2 linked regions of the Arabidopsis thaliana genome follow. The protein of the gene in region 2 interacts with the protein of the main gene of each other region in a pairwise test. Each region holds a gene or a part of one and is shown on either strand. Other genes may lie near its edges.

The links.
Region 1: the proteins of AT3G10590 (region 2) and AT2G31220 interact in a two-hybrid assay, tested with the Arabidopsis thaliana proteins (one large-scale study listed by BioGRID).

The regions. Positions count from the first base shown.
Region 1 is NC_003071.7:13,299,403-13,307,862, reverse strand, and holds AT2G31220 (basic helix-loop-helix (bHLH) DNA-binding superfamily protein), read right to left. Parts: upstream 5,198-8,460; 5' UTR 5,111-5,197; intron 4,890-5,110; 5' UTR 4,850-4,889; coding exon 4,843-4,849; intron 4,791-4,842; exon of another isoform or gene 4,748-4,790; coding exon 3,930-4,747; intron 3,836-3,929; coding exon 3,386-3,835; intron 3,304-3,385; coding exon 3,202-3,303; 3' UTR 2,994-3,201; downstream 1-2,993. Other genes in the region: ERF15 (ethylene-responsive element binding factor 15), read left to right, coding at 456-1,187; AT2G31215 (basic helix-loop-helix (bHLH) DNA-binding superfamily protein), read right to left, coding at 7,561-7,797, 7,904-8,056.
Region 2 is NC_003074.8:3,308,350-3,315,626, forward strand, and holds AT3G10590 (Duplicated homeodomain-like superfamily protein), read right to left. Parts: upstream 2,979-7,277; 5' UTR 2,963-2,978; coding exon 2,607-2,962; intron 2,340-2,606; coding exon 2,075-2,339; 3' UTR 1,859-2,074; downstream 1-1,858. Other genes in the region: AT3G10585 (Homeodomain-like superfamily protein), read right to left, coding at 218-271, 357-492, 773-1,080; AT3G10595 (Duplicated homeodomain-like superfamily protein), read right to left, coding at 3,556-3,838, 4,198-4,466; CAT7 (cationic amino acid transporter 7), read left to right, coding at 5,620-6,019, 6,118-6,686, 6,779-7,010.

The DNA of each region.
Region 1 (8,460 bases), on a different chromosome or scaffold from region 2:
AGCTTACGTGGCACTTGTTTGCCACATCACCGGTACTAATGATCTCATCTATTTTGTCATTTTCTCGCCGCCTAACGTCACTCCCTCTAAACAGTTTTACGCCACGTGTAAATAAAAATCACCCATTTATTTTTCTTTGAATTGGAGGATAGGTCCGTATAAAATCTTGTTTTTTTCCCAAAATACATTGAAAAAGAAAATACCAGTTTTGTGGTTGGTCCCCATTCGGTTGTGTTAAAATTTTATTAGTTTTTTAAGGCAGCCATATTTGTCTAATAGGACCTATGATAAACAATATAACAATAAAATACTTCCCACTTTCATATATCTTATAAATTCCGTGTCTCTTATATATATAGGATTAGGTTTTGAAATAAACTTATTGCCACAACAAGAAGAGATAACAAAAAGAAAAGAAAAAGAGAAATCGTAAAAAAAAAAAAAAAAAAAAACTTATGGAATATTCCCAATCTTCCATGTATTCATCTCCAAGTTCTTGGAGCTCATCACAAGAATCACTCTTATGGAACGAGAGCTGTTTCTTGGATCAATCATCTGAACCTCAAGCCTTCTTTTGCCCTAATTATGATTACTCCGATGACTTTTTCTCATTTGAGTCACCGGAGATGATGATTAAGGAAGAAATTCAAAACGGCGACGTTTCTAACTCCGAAGAAGAAGAAAAGGTTGGAATTGATGAAGAAAGATCATACAGAGGAGTGAGGAAAAGGCCGTGGGGGAAATTTGCAGCGGAGATAAGAGATTCAACGAGGAATGGAATTAGGGTTTGGCTCGGGACATTTGACAAAGCCGAGGAAGCCGCTCTTGCTTATGATCAAGCGGCTTTCGCCACAAAAGGATCTCTTGCAACACTTAATTTCCCGGTGGAAGTGGTTAGAGAGTCGCTAAAGAAAATGGAGAATGTGAATCTTCATGATGGAGGATCTCCGGTTATGGCCTTGAAGAGAAAACATTCTCTTCGAAACCGGCCTAGAGGGAAAAAGCGATCCTCTTCTTCTTCTTCTTCTTCTTCTAATTCTTCTTCTTGCTCTTCTTCTTCGTCTACTTCTTCAACATCAAGAAGTAGTAGTAAGCAGAGTGTTGTGAAGCAAGAAAGTGGTACACTTGTGGTTTTTGAAGATTTAGGTGCTGAGTATTTAGAACAACTTCTTATGAGCTCATGTTGATCTTGTAATTGATTTCAGCAAAAGCCACTATTAAACTTTAATTTTGTGATAATTAATCTTGAAATTTGTTTTGTTCATTCTGCAATTTCTTTGGTTCTCTTATTTTTTGTTTGTTGTATCCAAATGAAATTATTGGAAGAGATGGTGATGTTAAAGTGTATATATATAAAAAAAAAACTCTTATTTTTTGTCTTGATGAAAAAAAAATCTATTATTGCGTTATATGGCTGAAAAGTGTGTGTGTCCACCTTAATTGCTTTAATTTTTTTTTTTTTTTTGTGCTTTAATAATTTTCATTTTTTGCGTGAAAGATATTAGAGGATATAAATTTCTCCAAGTAACGATTCCTGTAAATCTAAGACTGTGAATCTTAAAAAATCAATCAAGTCGATCCAAGCTATAAAGTTATTCTTAATTCGAATAACAAAATCTAACCAAAAAGAAGTTGATAAGATAAACTATTAAGTTTTGTGTGTGTAGGGTAATTCGATTAGATCTATAAAGGTACGTTCCTGTTATATTGTATAAATGTTATATTATAAATTATATAAAATATCATTATGACGTTCATATTATATTGTGTTAATACGTCGTTAATGATGCTTTCGTTATCATCATTATTGTTAATCTCATTATTAATTGGCTGTTTGACTTTCTTATTACTTTTTTTGTGTGTGAAACATTCTTAACCCAATAAGCTATAAAGATTAACCATAGGCGATAAAATCAAATTCTACATGTCGATATTTTGTTGGATGTCGTAAATTGAAACATTCTTAACCTAATAAAGCTTAAGATTCACCATGGACGTTGGAATTAAAATAATTTCATGTCGAGATTTTTTTTGTTTTTTGGTAGAGTTTGAAGTATTGATACAATTATTTGAAATTTTGACAAAAAATAAATAAACATATACTGTTAACAGAAAAATACTGAAAACCTAAAGAAAAAAGCTTTAAAAACGTGATTGGTTTAGCTCTAAAGAACCCGATCCCTCAACTCCAAAGAATCCAAGTCTTCATCATGGCCTCCACGAGCAGCTCCTATCCTAGACAAGCCCTCAAACCTCAGTTAAATGCTTACAACTTCTTTGAGGATAAACGAAAAAACGGAATGGCAATAACGGAGTTGAACAATTAGAGAAACCGTCACCAACCACAATTACCGTTTTTTTTTTAATTTCCTTTTGCCAAATGTGAATATGTGAAAAGCTATATATAATTATCAAGTGATATGCTTGTCCAGAATTAGTAAGTTAAAATTGTGATACACGTCATAAGCTTTTCACAGACATACTTTATTTTAAATGTGAAAATAGACTTCAAAACAAAAAAATACACATGAACGTGTTCGAAATAGGGAATAAGCAAAAAGGGTGACAGACAACGAGCAAAGACAAGAGCGTTGAGACAAAATCACATCCTTGTTTTTTTGTTTTAGATCTAAAACAAATTAACATTCACTAATTGATAGTACATTTTTTGTTTTGTCAAAGCCTAATTGATAGTACACATTATTAAATAAAAGCTTAAACACGTAATTCAACGGTAAATGAAAAATCGTAAAAAGAACCAGATTAAAATTGGCTCATTGTAAAAAGAACCACTGAAAATGTAAGCAAGTTTCTTAATTTCTAGTTAGAAAACCAGAATCGATAAAGAAGCAATGGTTTATAAATTCCGGACTGATGATTATTCTCAAACTTTTCAAACGACACGGCCCACTGGCCCATTAAGAGCAATATGAAACGTAAGGTAAATATGAGCAAGAGCATTTGTTAAAAAAAAAAACGCAAGAGATTAAAATGTGGTCGAAAAACGAAACCGATAAAGCTAGAAGAAATATATAGAGTTAGACAAAATCCAGACAAAGAGCCTCAGCTCTAGCTCTAACTTTAACTCTAGCTAAATAAACTTGAAAATTACCAAAGTGATTAATAACTTAATCAGTCATTAGAGGGGTATCACAAAAGTTATTAAAAAGCAATAAACTACTCCATAAGTGTGTCTGGAATCTAGTAGCCGTTGCTAGGAACAGCTTCCATGTACTGCTTCTCCACGACCTCCATCAATGTGTCTGCAATTCCACTTGCATACACACAAGATCCTTCACAAATCTGCCTCAAACCAAATTGAAAAAGATTAGTTTATTGGTTTGGAGTTAATAACAGAACTATATTAGTGAGACATTTTCATTACCTTAGTGTTGAACAAGAAGCTGTAATGTTCACCAATCTGTCCACCTGCAACATGGTGAAGATCTAGCTGAAGCTGATCAAGAACTTTGGTGGTGAACAACAAACAGTTAATCTTCTTCTTCTGAACAAGCTTGATGGTTACTTCATCATCGATTATACGTACATCGACCTCAGTGACTTTCGATTTCCTCTTAAGCCATGAACATCTCAGTGAGTTGTTGTTGTTCTTGTTGAAGCAAGACTGGTCTACTTCGCTCTGTGGCTTGTAATTCACAGTGTCTTCTTCTTCTTCTTGATCTTCTCCTCCTCCTCCTTCACCAACTCTAGCTCTCTTCTTGCTCCTGAATCTCCCACATCTCTTCTTCTCCACAAGCATCTTAAACTCCTCTATTGTCCTTAAAAGCTCTTTGATGTAATCTATCGCCTCTCCAACTATCGATGCTCTATCAATCTACAGAGATTAAACCAACAATGTCTCTCATTTCATAGTCTCCTCATACACATTAACAACATGAATTGAAATCAAAGCAAAGTAAAGTATATACCTTTGTGGGATTTGGAATGAGGTTCTTTAAGTCGAAGAAACGATCATTGAAGTGAACTCGTCTCTCACGTTCTGTAGGGGAAGTTCTCGACTTTCTTGATCCTCTTCCTTTACGAGTAACTCCATTGTTAAACTCAAGAATCTCATTCTCAAATCCACCATTGTTGTTGTTTGCTCCTTCAAAGTACAAAACATTCATTCCTCCATTAGCATCCATCTGAATTTGATCTTCAACTCCAAGTAAACAAGAGCCGTTTCTTAGCTGGTTCTGATCTCTAGGCTGCATAGGGAAATTCAAATGGAAGAGAGGGTCGTACATAACAGCAGCAGCAGAAGAAGAAGACATAATGTCTGAGAAAGAGGTAGGTAGCATAGAGGAAGGATGATGATTAGGAGGCAATGAGCATCTAGGCAAGTGTAAGAGACTAAGCAAATCAGGAGTTGTTGCAGAGTTAGGTCCCAAATTCACAAAATCCTGATACCCATTATCCCAATTAGAGTGTTGTTGTTGATGTGAAGCCATTTGGTGAATCAAATTGTTGTGGAGTTGATCACAAGGAGGAGGTGGTGGAGGAGGAGGATTGATGTGAAACTGGAGAGGTGTTGAAGAAGCTTGAGGACAATCTTGTGGGCTGAGATGGAATTCAGAGAGCTCTTCTACCTCAACACTGCAGTTGCTGTTGCTTGTGCTTCCGGCAACCAGAACTTGCGGTGGTGGTGGTGGTGGTTCGGCTTGAGAGAAGCTACTCTCCACCGTAACTTCTGCTGGAGTGTTGGGATCGAAACAACCCATTTCCTCGTAAAGGCTTTCTCTTTCTTCTGCGTTTGTAACTCAAACACTAATTTAGATCTTCCAGAACGAAAAAGGTAGCAACTTTCATGAGAAATTAGACCAAATAATGAAATTTTGTTACCTTCCATGGAAATGGTTCAACGAGTACTCTAGATGATTCTTTAACACCTGCAAATCAAAAGTAACATTCAACAATCTTTAAGAAGAAGAAAAACCAAAAATTTGAAACTAATTTCAAAAAAAGTTAGCTCTTTTATAATTTTGGAAACGAAACCATAGAAATGTTTGTTAGGATCCAAAAGATTAAACATTGGGTTAAGGGTTTGAATTTGACAATAGATAGAAAGAGATGTAAGATAATGAGTAATCAGAGCTGGGAAAATTAGAACCTTTGTTACAATTAATTCTTCTCTACGTCTGTCTTCTCAATTTTCAGGAGAAGAAGTAAGTTTTTTAAACAAGAGTCTCTCTCTCCCTCTCTGTGTTTGAAATATACGGACATTTGTAGATGGAGACACACAATACAATAAGGGTAAAAAGATGGCAAAGTTAAATTATTGGATAACATGTATATTCTAGGTGTCTAATTTAAACGAAAATGTTGTATATAATCCATTAAGCTATGTTTCTAATCCAACTTTGATGCATGATTTATTAAGGTTTTGATTTGTTACATGGTTTGTGAAATTACTTCTTGTTTATAGTCATTTTTTAAATCATTTTCTATGCAACTTATTTTTTGATTAATCATTTCAAATGTTGAAACCTGATTACCAAATACCAATATGATCCTAAACATATCTTTTAACACTTAACCAGTTGTAAGAAAATTAGCATTGTATATATTTCTTTTACGTTATAAGCTCACTTTTAAGAAAATATAAATTGGGTTTTTTTTGGGGGCTGTTTTGGTTGGAGCATGTGATTTATCATTGTGGCCAAACATAAAGGTTGGTTAGAAGAATCAACAGATGGGTCCCTTGCCGAATCTCTCAGGTCTTTTCAACGACTTTAGGGGTATTTCCGTCATTATCAGCAAATACGATCTTCTCTCTGACCAATATGATATGGGCTCCACTAACTCACACCGACAAACCAAGTAGCCCCGTTTGCTCTTTCCCATTTCTACCCTTTTCCTTTCATTTTAGTAAAATTTGGATAAAAATATCCCAAATACAAAATTGTAATTGATAAAAGTATTTTAACGCGAAACTATTTTCTTGTCTTAGATGTATGTTTTACTTCTATAATTAATCTCATGTTTAATATGTGTTATGTTTATGCAATCGTATTTTATTATATACTCGAATTGAAAAAACTCTTCGACTTAATACAAGAACCAAAAATACTAATGCACGGTTTAAATGGATATGTTTTGTATATAAAAAGTGTTCAGTTTTAATTTATGGATGATTAACTACCTTATCATCAACAATCATGGAATTATTTATCACATCATCTAGTTTGATTCATCTATACGTTGTACATGGCATTGATAAAACTTATGTATGTATATCATAGTTAAATAGAAGTATAAATACTTAAACCCCTGGGTTTTCTAATTTTATAAGTAAACTGTGTTCAACAACTAAACCATCATAGAATAGTTTCTATCTCAAACACTTCCTGTAATGTATATCGACAACTCACTTAATTAATCTAATTTAACACTTCCTTTCTTTGTGTATAATCGATAACATAAAATGATAAAATAAAAATTCATCCATAAGAAAAATATTTAGATACTTGAAGAGATGTATAATAGAGAATCTGGTAAAAAAATAACATGGACTGTATTGAATATAAATAATTCATTTCATTCATATATGTTTATATTTCAATCTTTTCTATTAAATTTTTCTAAATAAATAACAATTTTGGATCAAACTAATTGTATAAGTTTCCTTGTTGAGCGGTTGGGTCATGCGATTTCTGTTTATAGCAAAGAGAGCGGGTTGTTTGAGAAGTAGTGGAAGTAGGTCCCACATCCAAGAATGGGATAATAATATACTTTATATTTGATTTAGTAAAAAAAAGAATTAGGGTTATTCTTGAAATTCGACAGAAACTGAAAAAATTCTGGTCACCTACCTCTCTCGTACACGGTACACTGCGACTGTCCCCATCCTAACTAAACAGTACAAACTCTGATTACTCAGAAAATGTTAAAATGTATTGCCGGACCAAACCAACGATTTGGTTTTTGATATATTAAAAATGTAGTGCCGCTTGATTCGGTCCATACATAGCCAATAGTTTCAGAAAAGGGGTTGGGTTGGATTCATTTAGGTAATGAATCGTATCATTTTTATTTTATTTGACGGTTGCACTACAGATATTTCATAGAAATTGATATTAGTTTAACAGGGCCTGCACTTCTCTAAAAATTATCGGTCTACAAACCCGACTTAACCGGTCTAAAACACACGTCACAATATCTCTAACAATAGACAAGTCTATTCAAAGTGGTCTATGATTAATTTGATCACTCTTATATATTATGCATGATGCTTCATCGTAGATGCTTGGGGTTGGGGATGAATTTCATCATTCATCACTGCTTCTTTTCTTTGAATCATTCCTTCTTTTCTTTCTCCGTAATCAAAGTGCATTCATCTTTCTTATATAACATTGTCTTGACATTTTCAGCTCTAAAGAAAGTTGGGTGTGTTGGCAAACTAGTCACTTTTTCAAACTTAATTGGAAAAGTAGTCACTTTACTATTCATAATTTGCAAAGTAGTCACTTTTCACTATTTGATTCGTACACTTGGATTGTACAACACTTTTAGTGTACAAATGTAAAGTGTACGTTGTGTATTTTTATATATATATGTACACTAAAAGTGGTGTACAAATCTAAGTGTACGAATCAAACAGTTAAAAGTGTTTTTGTTTTTGGAGAATGGATGCTCTATCTTGCTAGTCCCATAAATCGTGTTTTTATTGTCTACTTCAATGTTGTTGTGCCTTGCACCGCATTTTTTCTTCTCAACCAAATACTTAAGCTCGCTAACTAGTCTTTGTAACTCGTTGATGTAAACGATCCCATCTTGAACAATGGATGCTTCACCTCCCTAGTAATAGAGCATGTGTATTGATCAAGAGATATTGGAGAGAATGAATGAAAGATTAAACAGACGAAAAAGAATGAAAGATTAAACATAAAAATATATATCTAACCTTTGTGGGATTTGGAATGAGGTTCTTTAAGTCGAAGAAACGGTCATTGAAGAGAGCTCGTCTTTCGCGTTCTGTAAGGAAAGTTCTCGACTTCTTTGATCCTTTTCCTTCCTCTGCCTTGAACCTCTCGTTTTTTTTTGTGTAACGTTCCATGAAGATGGTTCAATACTCTAGAAGATTATCAATTTCAAGAGAAGAAACAAAGTTTCTTTAACAAGTCTCTCCCTCTCTGTATTTTGATTGAATATAAGGAGATTTGCAGATGGAATTAAAATTTTCTATTTTTTTTTCACTTAGGACACAAATTTATTATTTTATTTTTTTAGGACACAAAATGTTGACTTGACTTAATTAGCACTATGTTTCTAACCTATTTCACAGTAATGTCTTAAATAGATGTTGTTAAACATATTTTATGTCTATTTTTTAGCTTAATAAAGTTGTGCTTTTGCTGAAAAAATTATGAAATTATACCCTATATTATCTTTACAATTGAATAACTCTTCGACTGGATTACACAAACAACAAACAGATCGAAGATGAGGGATTTGGGTAGA
Region 2 (7,277 bases):
TTTTCCGCTTCTAATCAGATTTATAGTGAGAAAATAATAGGGAATGTTGCAAAATGAACCCTCGTCTTACTTTAATTAGCAAAAGAAACCGGAGTTATCTTTATTTCGTCCTTAACCTCCATATTGCTCAACATACCAAAGGGTCTTAAAACATTTATACTTTTACAAAGCAACCCAAAACATTTATAGTTTGTTCAAACCGGTCTTATACAGTTCATCAATCATCATCATCCGATATATACATCAGTACATCATCATCATCAACATCCCCCTATACAATTGATCATCGTCAAGCAAAACTCATCATATACTCATATACTTGAACTTATCATCACCCGGAGGGTTTTCTACTTAACAAAATCTGACTTGCCCTTAGTAGACTCCAAAGTTATGTCAAGGACACTCCAGCGTTTCCTCTTCTTACTGTCCAATTTTTGCCTTTTGTCATACTTTTGTGCATGACTTGCTACTTGTGTTGAGGTCACAAATTCCCTTGATATCATACTCCAAGCTCCTTTCCCATACTTGTTCAATCCATCAAGATCCCATAATCGTCATTATCAAGGTCAAATAAAAACATTCTCTCACAAACACGATTATTCATCATCTTAATTCAACAATCTAAAGACGTTTATCAGAAAATCAACCACCAAGATTATCATAATCATATGTAATTCATAAGTCTTTGACTAACCCTTAATGCATCAACTCCAGCAAGATTTAAGACTCTTCCTCAATCAAAAGAAACCCTAAATTTATGTCTTTGACAAACCTGTGTTCCTCTTCTGTCCAAGGAATTATCCTCGGTATCTGATTCGTCTCCCCGTGTTTGGACTCAGTCGCTTCCGTCAGTGACACGTAATAGGCTTCCGGGTACTTGGGTAATGCATACTTACCCGATTCGATCAGCACAACATCATAGACCAATATTGCGTCGTAGTAGTACTTCACCTCCTCCAAAGGTTTCTGTAGAAACTCGGCAATGTACTCCAAAAAATACGGCGAGCCCTCAGGGAATATCACCAGGGCTAACTCAAAACGCTTGTCATTGTCTCTCGTCCACGGCGGAATCAAAGCCATAATATCCAAGAAAATGAAGAAAAATAGTTTGTGGAATCTGTCAGTCTGTGTCTGTCACTGAAGAGGGTTTGTTGTTCCTTTAATTATTTTTTGAGAACCTGAGAATTTTATAGAGGTGATTTCGCCGGATAAACTAATAAGAAAAACTACAAATTTAGCCCTCAATATATAATGTCATTGAGATTTTTCGTTTCATATTAGATTTATAATGAGAAATAATAAGGAAAAATGTAAAATTAACCCTCCTCTTTGCTTTATTTAATAAAAGAAACCCGAGTTATTTTATTTCGTTCTTAACCACCATATTATATATATCAAACTCAGAACTCAGAAGCTGTCTTTCTTTTTATTAAACGTGTTTATACGTCTGTTTAATTATCACAGAAAAAAATAAAATAAAAAGATGAAAACTTTCAGTACAAGAAAGAGTTCTAAGTACGTATGACTGACTTCTTTATGAATTTTCTTTCTTTTAAACGTGTTTACGCGCGGCCTTTATCACAGAAATAAATATTCTATTTTTTTTGAATTTAAAGAAAGAAAGAAAAGATTACTTTTCAGTTCAAGAAAGAATTCAAAGTATATATCTTCTTATAAAATTTTGGTCTTATTATGCTTCCAAGTTCCATGTAAATTAAATATACTGAAAGACAAACGGTTTGACTAAATATTGATCATTTAATTAGTGATCATATTCACTTACTTTATATATAATATAATATCTTGGCTTTTTTAATGTTTTGAAACTATTTAAAATAAAAACTAACATATACTTGATAGAATCATTAATTATCCTATACACTTGAACATCATCAAGTGAAACTGATATTTTTGTATACCGAAACTACGTAGCAATCCTATACATATGCAGAAAACAAGCGAAGTTCCTTTTTTATTATATTAAATCTATATATATATATATATATATTATCTATTTTTGAGTTCAAGTTCCGTTGCTTGTTTCATTTCACACCATTCTTCTATCTTCCAACATCTAAACTCCAAGACAAGTGCCTTGACCTTGGGACGGATCATCATCATCCGGAGGGTTCTGATTTCCAGAATCTGGATTGCCCTCGGTAGACTCCAAAGTTATGTCAAAAATACTCCGGCGTTTCTCCTTCTTATTGTCCGATTTTTGCCTTTTGTAATACTGTGCATGGCTTGACACTTGCCGTGGAGTCTTTGTCTTCACAAAATTCGTTGATGTCAACGTCGAAGCTCCTTCCCCATACTTTTTCAATCCTTGCAGAAACAATCTGAAATATATCATTAAACAATCAAAATCATAAGAATTAATAACCTAGATATTATCATAATCAGCATCATCATGTTAAAATTAATATAAATCAAATTGATAATTACATCTATCTGAAGAAAAATACTTGTATACGTTACCCTAATCAACAAAACCCAAACTAATCATTTTTTGTGAGATTTGAACTGTTAACTTATACTTTTCCTCAAGATTTAAGACTTTTCCTCAATCAAAAGAAACCCTAATTCATAAGTATTTGATGACTAACCTGTGTTCCTCTTCTGTCCAAGGATTTGGCGTATCCTTCTTCCTGCGTTTGGACTGACTCGATTCCGCCAGTGGTACGTACTCGGGCATCTGATTAACATCGTTGGCCATCTTTTCGTACATGTACTTCATCTCCTCCATTTCCATAGGTTTCTGCAGATGCTGGGTGACATTCTCTAAAGGTTTCGGCAGATAAACATCGTTGACCAACTTTTCGTAGTAGTACTTCACCTCCTCCAAAGGTTTCGGCAGATGCTGGGCGACATTCACCAAACGCTTGTTATCCGGAGGGAATTGCGACAGAGCTGACTTAAAACGCCTGTTGTCGTCCTCCGTCCAGCGTGGACTCGAAGCCATAGTATCCGAGAAAATGAGAAAAAAAAAAAGAGATGGCTAAAAATTCAAGAAACAAGAAGATCGTTTTGTGGAATATGTTACGGAAGAGCGATTGTTTGTTCGTTTTAATTTTGGCAACCTGACAATTTATAGAGGATCAAGTAATGGGTGAAAATTACAAAATTAGCCCTCACTTTACAAAAAGAAACACGATTTCGTATTTAAACACGCACAACTTGACTCAGAAGTTTTCTTCTCGTTTACGTTTAGACGTACGCAGTGGGTAAAACTTGGAGTGTAATTTCAAGTTATTTTAGTTTCCTATTTAACCCCAACTTTATATATACTACGTACTTAACTTGAAAGCTCCATCTTACGTGTATCTTCTGTTTAGCCTAGATGAAATAAAGCAAAAAATAAAAACATTGAAATATATATTATTTTAATGGTTAAAGAAAATAATATAGATGACCACAAAATTAAATAAAATATGGTTTGCCAAAAAAATGGAAATCCCAAATCTTTAACATACCACACAAAAAAAATAATCAAGGGCCTTCAATATCTTTAGGCTTTTTATTTTTTGGTTGTTAATACAGTCATAGAGATTTATATCACTTTGAGTTGGGGGCCTTAGCATGGTGACCGATTTCCAGAGCGACGAGACTCTCTTGTTGGCCTGTTGAGTCCACATTGGTGTTATTTGCTCCCTGCCGTTTCATCACATTCACATCGGTGCTTGCCACATTTAAGTCGTTAATCACATTTTTCTTTGAGCTTTGCCACTGGTAAAAGTTTTCTGCATATATCTCGACTTGGATCGGGCTCTTGCAATCCAATAAGACGGCTATTTTACGCCAATCTTTCCCAAATCGGTCTAACCCAATCAGAAACCATCTGCATTACAATTTCCACCAGTTCATAGATCAGCCCATTTTAATCAAGTTTCACCATGGCATTATTAGTTAACGATATAAATTGAGTCAAATGAAAAAAAAAAAAAAACTATATTGTCCACATTAAAAAAATAATGCTAGAATGTGTAAATCGTAAGATCATAGGACTAAATACATTTTAATCTCAGAAATGAACTATGTGAATTATGGAGTCTAAGAGGAGAATGCGTCTAGCTAGATCCACAAACCAATACCAGTACTAATCAATCATTATGTTTATAATTGAAACTTATACGTGTATGTAAATTCCACTAACTAACAAAAATCATAACTCATCACTCATTAATCTTATATACTTACTCATGTGTTTCTTTGGTCCATATAGTTCTCTCGGCCTGGTACGAACTTTGAGCCATATCCTTAGTCAATTCATTAGGAAAAGCTACTCGACTGGATCCCATCTCTAAAAGATCATTGACCAATTCCTTGTAATGCTCCTTAACATCATCCACCGATCTATCCACATACTCGGCGACACTCTCAAACCGAGTAAGCAAAAAGGCAGTGAACATCACCAGTGCATCCTTGAACATCTCGTTCTCCTCTGTCGTCCATGAATTTTCAGCCATGATTCCCAAAACAAATTAAGGAAAATGAAGTCTACAAAACAGAATGGTGTGAATCTGGAGAACTACAGTATATATAATAACTCATGTAAGGGATATGGCAGCTTATAAATCAACTCAAGTAACAAAAAATATATGGCTTCTCTTCTCTCAAATTGGGGTGTATTAAGTTTCCTTCCTTTTTCTTATATTCAAAGGGTAAATTTTATTTCAGATTTTGCTATATTGCATACAAAGTCTTTATTTTATTTCTTTCTACTGATTTATTGTCATTCATTTAGTTTCCTATATCCTTTTTATTAAATTTGTTTTATAATATTGACGATTTTAGCCAATTAGATTATGATACGTGTACAAATAAATTTTTATTTTCACACGTGTTAGCAATCAGAATTATGATACGTGTTACAGCCAATTAGATTATAACACGTGTATAAACAAATTTATGTTTTCACACGTGTTAAAAATTAAAAATTTAACATACAAAAGATTATAGACCTAATACCACACAAATAAAATAAATAGTCAAAACTTTAGAAATTAAGAACTTTCATTAACATGAAAGAAACAAAAAATTGTTTATTTTTTCAAACTCTCTTCACACGAAAAGGAAAATAATCAATCATAATTATTCACCAAGTTGTGAATATTGCGACGGATTGCAACGATCCCGGTTACTGGTTGGTCACTCTGATACTTAAAAGAGTAACATTTTTATCCATGTTCGTTGGTTGCATTCGTTAAACAAACAAGTTGTGATTATTATCGACCATTGTCCAAGGAAAAATAAGCATTCATTATTTATACTAGGAATTAAATATTTGCCGTCTAAACTCAAATAATAAAAATTGGGAGACCGAACAGATTATAGAATATTTGTGTTAATGCTTACGTGATTTATTTATTTTAGTCGATGCTTATGTGATCACTGATCATTATGAATACAAAAAAATAGAAGCTACTTTAATATAATAAAACTAAGTTGACCAAAATAATAATAATAATTAGCGTTTCCAAAGCTTGTAATAAATTACACCAAAAAGCGTCTAATTCTTTTTTTCGTCTCTCAGTCTTTTGCAATCTCACATTATAAAACCACTTGTTTCAAATTACTCTCAAAAACATTATAATCCGTTACATATTGACCCGACCCGAAATGGAGGCCCAATACCGGAACCACGACGGAGACACCTCTTTCTCTAGCCTCCGTGTCTACCTCAACTCTCTCTCCGACACTCCCTCCCGTTTTTCCCGCCGAGCCGTTTCCGTTTCCACCTCTTACGACGAGATGAGCCGCGTCCGCGCCGTCTCCGGCGAGCAGATGCGTCGTACTCTCCGTTGGTACGATCTCATCGGACTCGGAATCGGTGGAATGATCGGAGCCGGAGTCTTCGTCACCACCGGCCGTGCTAGTCGTCTCTACGCTGGTCCATCAATCGTCGTCTCTTACGCAATCGCCGGACTCTGTGCTCTACTCTCCGCCTTCTGTTACACCGAGTTCGCCGTTCACCTCCCCGTCGCCGGCGGTGCTTTCAGCTACATCCGTATCACATTCGGTCAGTAACATTCTCCCGCCAAAATCAAAACTCCCAAATCGCAGAGAAATTCAAATTTCATTTTTTCCTCTCCGATCATTCATTTTTTTCCGTTACAGGCGAGTTTCCGGCGTTTATAACCGGAGCAAATCTGATAATGGACTACGTACTGTCAAACGCCGCCGTTTCAAGAGGATTCACCGCTTATCTCGGATCTGCATTCGGAATCTCAACATCGGAGTGGAGATTCATCGTCTCCGGTCTCCCAAACGGATTCAACGAAATCGATCCCATCGCCGTTATCGTCGTCCTCGCCGTCACGTTCGTCATCTGTTACAGTACGAGAGAGAGTTCGAAGGTGAATATGGTATTAACGGCGTTACACATTGCATTTATAGTATTCGTGATCGTCATGGGTTTCTCGAAAGGAGACGTAAAGAATTTAACCCGACCCGATAACCCGGAAAACCCATCCGGATTCTTCCCGTTTGGAGTTTCGGGTGTGTTTAACGGAGCAGCAATGGTTTATCTAAGTTACATAGGATACGACGCCGTTTCGACAATGGCTGAAGAAGTAAAAGACCCAGTCAAAGACATACCAATGGGAATCTCTGGCTCAGTCGCAATCGTCATTGTACTTTACTGTTTAATGGCTATCTCTATGTCAATGCTTCTCCCGTACGATCTGGTCCGTACCATCAAATACACATTTTTAATTTAAGCTTTTTTCTATGGGTTTTGTGGGTGAATGATTTGGTGTGGTTGTGTGTACGTAAGCAGATAGATGCGGAGGCACCGTATTCGGCGGCGTTTAGTAAATCGGAAGGATGGGAATGGGTGACGAGAGTGGTTGGGATTGGAGCAAGTTTCGGGATATTAACGTCGTTGATAGTAGCCATGTTGGGTCAGGCTCGGTACATGTGCGTCATCGGACGGTCAAGAGTTGTCCCCATTTGGTTTGCTAAGGTTCATCCCAAGACATCTACTCCAGTCAACGCTTCCGCTTTTCTTGGTAACTTTTTGTCCTTACTCTCAAACATATTTATTTTCATTCTATTAAAATTAACATCTTTGATCAAATATAATAAGTTAAATATTATTTATTTTTAAGGTTATGTTGGAATTTTCCTTTCGTAAAGATCGGTTTTATGTTTTTTCTCTGTTTTATTTTCATCAAGTGATAAAGAGACAGTTTGATAGTGGGGACATCCATTTTGGGTTTTTGTTTGTTTGTTTGTTTCCATGATCTTTTTGGATTTCATTGTATTGTTGATCTTAC